Linked DNA regions of Cricetulus griseus. The protein of the gene in region 1 purifies or fractionates together with the protein of each later gene. This does not show direct contact. Links are inferred from orthologs where the notes say so. Each region holds a gene or a part of one and is shown in the gene's direction. Other genes may lie near its edges.

The links.
Region 2: the proteins of Fgf11 (region 1) and Ahcyl1 purify together in Homo sapiens (affinity purification with mass spectrometry; 3 studies listed by BioGRID and IntAct, with this or other methods). This does not show direct contact. The link is inferred for Cricetulus griseus from reciprocal best matches to the Homo sapiens genes FGF11 and AHCYL1.

What each region holds. Positions count from the first base shown.
Region 1 is NC_048600.1:83,650,198-83,654,798, reverse strand, and holds the start of Fgf11 (fibroblast growth factor 11), read left to right. Parts: upstream 1-1,729; coding exon 1,730-1,922; intron 1,923-3,625; coding exon 3,626-3,736; intron 3,737-3,915; coding exon 3,916-4,019; intron 4,020-4,601.
Region 2 is NW_023276806.1:49,463,743-49,468,272, forward strand, and holds the start of Ahcyl1 (S-adenosylhomocysteine hydrolase-like protein 1), read left to right. Parts: upstream 1-1,476; 5' UTR 1,477-1,737; coding exon 1,738-1,857; intron 1,858-4,530. UniProt on the Homo sapiens protein: Multifaceted cellular regulator which coordinates several essential cellular functions including regulation of epithelial HCO3(-) and fluid secretion, mRNA processing and DNA replication.

The sequences.
Region 1 (4,601 bases):
TTGCAGCCCAGACTGGGTGGCACAACCACCCCCAGTTTCTACACACACACACACACACACACACACACACACACACACACACACACACACACACACACACACTTTCCTCGTCCATTTCTCTCCTCACTTGCATCCCAGGCAGTAGGGTCCCTTTCCATATCCTCACTGTCGATCATTCCATCTAGCCCCCAGCCCCGCCGCATCAGGCTTCCTTGTCTTGTCTCCTCTGAACCCCGAGACTTGCAGGCCTTGCCTCGATTCCGCCTGCCTCTGAAACAGTCCCTGCTCACAGCTTCCAAGGAACCCCAGGGTTCCGCCCGCCCAGCTTCGCCTCCCTCTTTCCCAGCGTCTCCGCCCCCTGCCCCGCCCCCGGGCCGGCTCGCAGAGGAGGGGGAGCTTCTGTCGCCACCGCCGCCGCCGCCGCCGCCTCAGCTTCCCACAGCCGCTGCTCCTGCCGCCGCCGCTCAGCTTGGTCCAACCTCCAGGCCCAGTGCTCTGACTTTGCCGAACCGGGGCGCTCTGCAGAGACATCTTCACTCCTTCCTGGGGGTCCCGGACACCTAGGCCGGCGTTGGGGGGAACCTCCGCTTGCGGGTGACAGGGAGGGAGGAGCCTGGAGCCGGAGCCCGCGACACCCGTCGCCCGGATCAACAGGACAGGACAGGTTGAGGGGCGTCGGGGAAAGGAAGGGGCGCTAAAGCAATCCCAGGGAGGACGAGGAAGCCCTGTCGTAGGAAGCTCTGATGCGCTATGACTTATTAAGGCCTGTTGACGTTTGAGGAGTGTTGACAACGTGGGTGCTCTCCACTCTTGGGGGCCTTGTTAGATTGGAGGGTGTGGGATCTAAGTAGTGCCAGTTGTCCCTCGGGAAATTTAAGGGGCAACCAGAAAACAAACAAAAACGACAGATGCTCCTTGTTTCGGGGTGACAGAGGGTCCTCCAGACAACCACCTGGTGTATGCACTAGGAAGGAAGGGCTGATTTGGAGGTGACTTCAAAAGGAGTGGAGGGTAACAAAGTAAGGAAATGGTCTCAGCAGCTGAAACCCTATGGTACTAGAACCCCAGGTACTGGAACCCTGTGAGAAAAAGCATTATCCAGCCAGAGGATCTGGGAACCCCTTCTCACTGAACCTTCTCACTGCATATTAAGACATATTTGGGGGGGATTTTTGAAGAAAGTGGGAGAGCCACTCCATTTAGAATATAGCAAAGGAAAAAAAAAAAAAAAACATCAGGACTGGGTTCCTCTCTGACATTGACAGCAGCCCAGGGTGAGCTAATGTCCCCAAAGATAAAGACCCGCACCCTTCAGATGAGAAGAGTAGGCTGGGCAGGAGAGGCCCCAAAATAGGGTGGAAAGAAGTCTGAGGATATTGAGAACGCATCTTGGGCATTTCGGAGGGTCTTGACTTTGGGACACAGGAAGTGGGGACAGAGGCCAGAGAGGAGGGGAGGGGAGAGCTTTCATTAGGGGACAAAATTCATGGGTGAGGTCAGCTAAAGAGTGCATAGGCTGTTGGAGCCGCTGGAGCTAGTGCAGGGCCCAAGGGTGAGAGCGGTGGTTGGGGCGTGGGGGGAAGCAAGGGGGGTCTGGGGTTAATCCTTAGGTCCTGTGGGTGGGGCGGTGGGTTGGGTCCAGAGCATGCCCTGGTGAGAGGGCTCCTCCAGGGGAGCCCAGGGCGCTCCGGGAGCCTGCTGGCTTGGGGGTGTCTCCTCCCGGGGCGCTATGGCGGCGTTGGCCAGTAGCCTGATCCGACAGAAGCGGGAGGTCCGCGAGCCCGGGAGCAGCCGGCCAGTGTCGGCGCAGCGGCGCGTGTGTCCCCGCGGCACCAAGTCTCTTTGCCAGAAGCAGCTCCTCATCCTGCTGTCCAAGGTGCGACTGTGCGGGGGGCGGCCCACGCGACAGGACCGCGGCCCAGGTGAGTGTGACTAGGGCGGGGTCTCCGGGCCAGAAGTCTTTCTGCCTGGGACCCGGGACCCTGAAGAATGCAGCTGATGGTGCGCGCGCGGGGGGGGGGTGTTGTCCCAAAAGTAGAAGAGGTGGGCTAGAACGACAAAACCTATGGGACTATGCTTCAGTTTCCTTCCTCTTTGCCCGTAATGCCGAGTCTCCTTGCTTTCGAGGGCAAGGGGAAGGTTTGAGGGGCCAAGTCTAACGACCCAAGCTTCTAGGCTTCTGTCTGCCCCCCTTCAACACAGGACTCCCCACCCCCACGGTTCTTCGCCTACGTGCAGGTTCTCGCGATTCTTTCCATCCGAAGCGGAGGAACCTGGGGGGTTCTGGACGCTTGGGTCACCCCGAGGGTTTCTGCAGCCCTGGCTGCCCCGCCCCCGCTCCGGTTCTCCCGCCCCTCCACGCTTTGGCTCTGTTCCTCCTGGTCGAGCTCGCCTGGCCAGGAGCCAATCTCTCCAGCTCTCCCCCGGGTGTCCTTGCAGCTACCTCGTCATCCAGCCCCCTCCGTACGCCCTCCTTCTGTGACCTGCGCTTCGAGGAGGGAGCTGAGCACCCCTCCCATTACTCCTGTGCGATTCGGAAATCCGATCCTACAGGCTCCGGGGACCCTCTGCTAGTAGGAACACACACACACACACACACACACACACACACACACACACACACACACACACACACACACACACACACACACACACTTCATGCTGAGGACCTGCACAGAGACTTGGGGGGGTCGTACCACTTACAAGGGGGAAGAGGAAAATCGGCAGAGAGCAAGCCGCGGGAAAGGAGAGGTGTAAGGGTTGGTATGTGATTCCCGTCCAGGTACGACAGTTAGGGAGTCCCTCTGGCTTCTCTCCAGGCCGCTGCCGGTTCCCCTAGGGGTAGCCCCTTGCGCCCTCCTTCCGCACCATCAACGGTAGGTAGTGGTACAGTCCGCAGCCCACCCTCTGAGTGGGACCCAGCCCCCACGTGATGCAGCTTGCCTCTCCATCTCTGTCCCCTCTTCCTTATCCTTGATGTGGTATGAATGCCTTCTATCCCAGGCTAGTTACCTGGCTGAAGGTTAGAGGCTCAGTCTCACGGAGAATTGGACCCTCCTGAGCCAGCTGACTGACTGACAGACAGACAGACAGACAGACAGATGGGTCAGTGTCAGACAAGCCGGCGCTGAGCCAAAGCAAGGCCCGCGCCAAGCAAGCGGCAGCTGCAGCAGCAGGTGCTGAGTCAGCGTCAGTCAAACCCAGTGCCACCCCTGCTTCTGAGGGGGAGCCCCTTCCCTATGGTCACCTTGCTGTTCACCCCGACATTTGCAAACACATTGCCCTGCGTCTCTAGCACTGTCCGTTACCTTTCATATCTTTCTCTTCTACCTCCTCTCTGCCCCCTCCCCCAACTCTGGTGGGGAGAAGGAATTAAGCCATTTAAATAAATTTCAATAAATTAAGCTGACGCTCATGATTAGAGAAAGCGGAAGAGACCCACACCCCAGCTTCCTCAGGAATCAAAGAGGGGTGGGAGGACGCTTGCTTGAAGGGTAAGAGAGCTGGGGCCCGGAACCGTCTTCTCTTCATTTCCCCTTCCTTCTAGCCTGTGATCCCGCCAAGTGTAGGAATGTTTCTGGGAACAGAGATGTCGTTTTTCAAAGATGAATGTCTCTCTCTCCAGAGCCTCAGCTCAAAGGCATCGTCACCAAACTGTTCTGCCGCCAGGGTTTCTACCTCCAGGCGAATCCGGATGGGAGCATCCAGGGCACCCCAGAGGACACCAGCTCCTTCAGTGAGAGGGGAAGCCAACTGCAGGGTGGGGAGTGGGGAGCCAGGGACAGGAGATGACAGGCTTTGTTGTCTTCAGTCTGTTTTCCTGAGCCCCAAGGGGAGCAGTGGAGCTGGAGTTCGGAGGGGACTCAGAGGAGAGTGAGGCAACTGAGTCCTGACATCTGCTCTCTACTCCCCCAGCCCACTTCAATTTGATTCCTGTGGGGCTCCGCGTAGTCACCATCCAGAGTGCCAAGCTGGGTCACTACATGGCCATGAATGCTGAGGGGCTATTGTACAGCTCGGTAAGACAATGCTGCTGAGTGGCCTGGGGTACTGGGGACACTGTCAGCATGCGACCATCCTTTGCTGCAGACAGGACTTGCACCCAGGACTCTGTCCTTCCTGCTTTGGCTGATCACTGCCTGTTCCAAAGTGGTCCTTGAGAGTACATCCAGTCTCTATTTGCACCGCTTATCCTAAAGTGCCCCAGGATCTTTGGATGTCTGACTCTTCCAGACATCCCCCCCACTTCTCAGCCTATCACCTTTACTCTGGATAGGAAGTAGTAAGAGACTGGGAATGCAGAGTAGAGATCTTATTTCCAGAGCCCCTATTGGTCTAGTTCTTACCCCTGGATGGCCCTCCAGGCTTTTCCTTACTCTCTCTCTCTGTGCTCTGATTTCTGCATGGCCTCATTGGTTGCCATCCTCCTTTAGAAAAAAATGTATGGATTGCATATTGGCTGTTTCTTCCCAAGGGTTCCCTTCTGCCAGTGATATAACTCTCTCTCTCTCTCTCTCTCTCTCTCTCTCTCTCTCTCTCTCTCTCTGTGTGTGTGTGTGTGTGTGTGTGTGTGTGTGTGTGTCTCTGGTGTGTGTGTGTCT
Region 2 (4,530 bases), on another chromosome or scaffold:
GTCCCTGGGAAGACTTACTCTGAACACAGTAGAGAAGAATCTGGCTTCTCTGAATCCACGGAAGAGAGAAGGGTGAAGGAAAGGGATGAAAAGGGAGCAGGCGGCAGCTGGATGTGTAGGATGCTAGAGTTTTGTGGGATTTTGTGGCCATTGAGAAATCCCAAGGTGATGAGATGGCTGGAATAACTTTTCGGAACATTTCAGAAATGTGATTGAAGACTGTTTGCTATGTGATGTAACCTCTCCCCTGTGACCCACAAACCTTCATTAAAAGTTTTGCTACATATTATAGCTTCATTTTTGTGGTTTAGGGGTGGGAGTTGGAAAGAGAACAGGCTGATGTGACACCAAGAGCTAAAGAAACAGTCATAAGACTGGAATAGTGAATAAAATTTCAGACTAGGCAGCAAACTAGAGCCAAGGGTGACCATCAAAACCTAAGTCCCCTCAGTAATTCACAGAAATCCTGGGGACAACATTGTACTTTCCACAGGACATAGGAACTGGAGCCAATGTCATTTGAATGATGTTCAAAGGACAAACTACCTCAGCTGACACAAACAAGCTTTCCCTCTCCAAATGGACGAATTCTTGGAAACCATAAATGTGCCACAGGCACCTCTGCCATCCAGGGCCTTACACAGGGACCGTACACAGTAGAAACTGTGAGAGTGCTACTGAACGCACTCATGGCATGCTCACTCCGAGTAGAGCTGGCAGGCAGAGACTAATGTCCAGAGAGAGCATGCAGCAGGAGGGTCAATTTGGCCCGACCTTTTCTCAATCTGCCTTTAGTTCTCTACCTTCTGATCCATCAACCCTATCTTAATGACCTCTTGACATCAGCACGGCAGCCTGAAGGTCTTGTAAACAGACAAGGCCCAGGAGGAGATAGTGATGGAGGTCATAAAGGGTTGGGTAGAAACCAGACTGCTCTCAGCTTGTTCTGCCCCCTATGAAGTCAAAAAGCAAACACTGTCCCTTGGAAATGGGCTTCTGGTCCAAAGGGTCCAGCCATGGTGTGGGCCGAGTGAGAAGGCTGTTCCAGAAAAGGCCCTAAGATGTGTCCTGTGGGACTCTGACCTATGGCCCCAAGCATCGCTCTTTATACGCCCTCCCCTCCGTCCCCCACCCCACTCCTGTCCCGGGCCACCTCCCTACCCCAAGGTCTCCTGGGGAATTCATTTGGTAGTCCAAGGCCGCTCAGTCCTGAGGCATCCTTATAGGAACCACACCGGGCTCAACAGGGCTGATGGCACCACCTGGCGGCGTACATGGTACAAGTCGCCCTGGAAAGCTCATCACCCAGGAGCAAGAAAGGAGGCAGGACTGTTCTTGTGGCCCGGCCCAGCGTGGTAACATCAGCAGACTGCGCCAATTCTCCCCGCCTCTTTCCCCACCCTCCTTGGGCCTGCCAGTACTTGACGTGGCGTCTCCGCCCTCTACCCTTACTTTGCGTGCGTGCTTGCGTGCGGCGGAGGTTGCTGCGCGGGCAAGTCGGAGCTGCGCGCTGCTGCTTCTGGTTCTTCTGTGGCCGCCGTCGCTGTCCGGCAGTCTTGTACGGCGGTGCCGACGAGGCGCGCGGGTCACAGCCCTTCGGAAGCACCAGCAGCTCGGCGCGGGGCCTGGCGGGAAGGCGGGCGAGCGCGTGGCCGAGGGCGCCGCGCGGACGGGCGGGCGCCCGTGAGGGAAAGAGGCGGGGGCGGCGGGTTAGCCGCGGGCCGGGCCGGCCGGGGGATGTCGATGCCTGACGCGATGCCGCTGCCCGGTGTCGGGGAGGAGCTGAAACAGGCCAAGGAGATCGAGGACGCTGAGAAGTACTCCTTCATGGCCACAGTCACCAAGGCTCCCAAGAAGGTGCGGGGCTCTGGGTGGCGGCGGGGGCCCTCGCGGAAGGGGCGCGAGCAAGCCCCGGGCCCGGGCTCGGGTAGTTCGGGACTTCGGGCTAAGGTTTAGGGTGCTCGGGGACCACTGACACGATGTAGGGGGTGGCCGGTGAGCGGCCATGGGCCTATCTGAGGCCGAAGAGGCCGCTCTGACCTCGCTTTTCTTTGTCCCTCGGCCGGAGTCCTCCTGGATCTTTCTGAAGCCCGGCAGGGCCAGGCCTTATATTTGCGGCTGACTTTTTCCTGGATGGAGAGCCTTGAGAAAAAGACTGGGAGGGGGTGAACGACTCAGCTGACCCCTGTGACCTCTCCAGGGGATGAGGGTATACAGGAAATTTCCCCTTAAGTAAGTGGGGAAATCGGGCAGCGCTTTTTCAAGGCATCTCTTGGGGAGCGTTGGCCGTTTAACCAACAACTGCGTGATAGCTTAGAGGCAAGAGGAAAAACTGTATGAACTGGTTGAAGGCTCTAAAAGCAACAAGAAATTGAAAGTCAAAATGATTTTCGCCTTCCAGGCTTCCAGTTGCTTGGAAGTGTGAGAGAAAGGGAAATTGAGGGGTTGGTGACAGTAGACACTGTCATGGATGCAGGCTGATCCCAGTCATGTGAATAGATCATTTAGACATCCCTCCAGAAAGAAGCTTGGGTGGGTTGGAGAGGTGGGTGGTAAGAAATGATTGCTCATTCTTTACTGCACTTACTGAAGCAGAACAAGTTCAGCCTATTGTGCTGTGGGTTGCAGCCCAAAGGACATCCTTCTACAGCTCTTGGGAAAGAGAATCTATGGAGGGCTGAGTCTAACTAGCCCTCTCAGTTGGTGGGATTGAGATCCCCTGTGCTTTCTGTCAAACATTCCTTGACTTTCCACTTATCTGGCACCCAGTTAACAGTAGACCAAAGAACCTTTGCAAAGAGGTGACCTTCCTAAAGCCAATGAAAAACATGACAGATATTTCCCTCTTGTATAAAGTCATTTCAAAGCTAACCGTGCCTACAGTATTTGCTGGGATTCAGGTCTGGTATAAATTCAAAACAGCAAGGTTTGCAGGGGTAGTTAACCCCCCCCCCAGGTTCCCGCACCTGAACTAGTTAAGCTGTTCTAAGCACCTGAGAGGGCATCCCAACACCCCCTCTTCCAGGAAATTAATAAAAACAGGTCTAGAAAAGAGAAGTCATCACTGTGTGCTTCAGCTCTGTTTTCTCACAAAATTAAAAGATTTCTACCAATAGTGCCTTTAAAAGGTTATGGAAGGTTCCTTGATCCTAAGGGAGCCAGTTGACCTCATTTTTAGTGCTCTGGTTCCTCTGATTGCTTTGCTGAAGAAGTGACCTTTTGCAATCTACACTATTTGGATACACAGAGTTCTTACAAGCAAAATGCTTAAGCATAGTACCTCAGATGAGTTAAGGGAAAGAATAGGAAAATCTGATAGCCTAATCCCTCTGACTCTTATCTCTTACCATAAACCCACCTCCTTTCATCTAAATACTTGAGAGTATTTTTATTGTTCCTTTCCATTATTTCAGTGTAACTATATTCTTGCAAGCCAATACTGATAAGCCAAAATCTGTATACATTGTAAACTGTATACTTTATACATTGTAAACTCCTAGAGGCAAGGATTCTTGTTTACCATTTTATCTCTGGAACCTAACTCTGTACCTTGCATATAGTACTCAATTGTTAATTGTCAATCTGGCTAACCAGTAACTGAAATGCCAAATGCCAACAAGCAGTAAATATCCCCTTTCCTTTCTTCTTCCTGAGAGGAATAACACAAATGAGTATTATTGCGAAGCCAAGTGCTAATGACTTTAGAGACTCCCATTAGCTAAAATAAGCAAGTCTGCCAGGAGTGTGGGAAGACCCTGTTGTAAGTTTCCATTTGCTAGTATGTATGTCTCCTTGTTATTAATCTTGTTCTTTGAACTTTATTGTGTGGCATTTACGTTGTATTAAAATGCATTATGATGACTAATTGCCCTTCCCTTAATGATGATAAAAGGTATTTATTTAGTTAATGGACCAGTCAAGGTCATGTAGTAAATTCTAGGTAATCTGGTTTTGTTTTGTTTTGTTTTGTTTTTATTCCCCCTCAGAATTTGAGTTGGACTTATGACTTAGGTCACTTGTGTACCTCTTCCATGTGGTGATAATGTGACAAACTATGGGAAAGGTTAGGGTGGAAAAGAACTTGGCATGGTACTGAATAGTGTGAGAAAAAGGCCTATTTCAAATGGTGTAGTCCTTCACCCATGAGGATTCCAGCTTGACTCAACCAAGTAACTCTTGGATCATTCCCATTTCTGAGGCCCTTCTGGAATTGAGGACATTCCTAGGGCCAAAGAATATAGGTGACTTCAGTGCTTCTCAATAAGATCAGATCCTAGTGTACTTATCTTGACAGCTTTTATTTATTGTTTGATTCGTTTGAGGTACAACATGTGTAAAAACATATGTATCTTATTATTCAACTATAATGATACCCAATTTTGTACCCTTGAGTATCTATCCCAGCACTGTGGATATTACAGGGCTTGTTGGTTTAAGACTTGAAAGTTGTAGGTCAAGAAGCCAACTGCTATTAATTAGTATTCCTTTCCAATAGCTTGTGTGCCTTAGTTTCCTTATTTGCCTAATAAG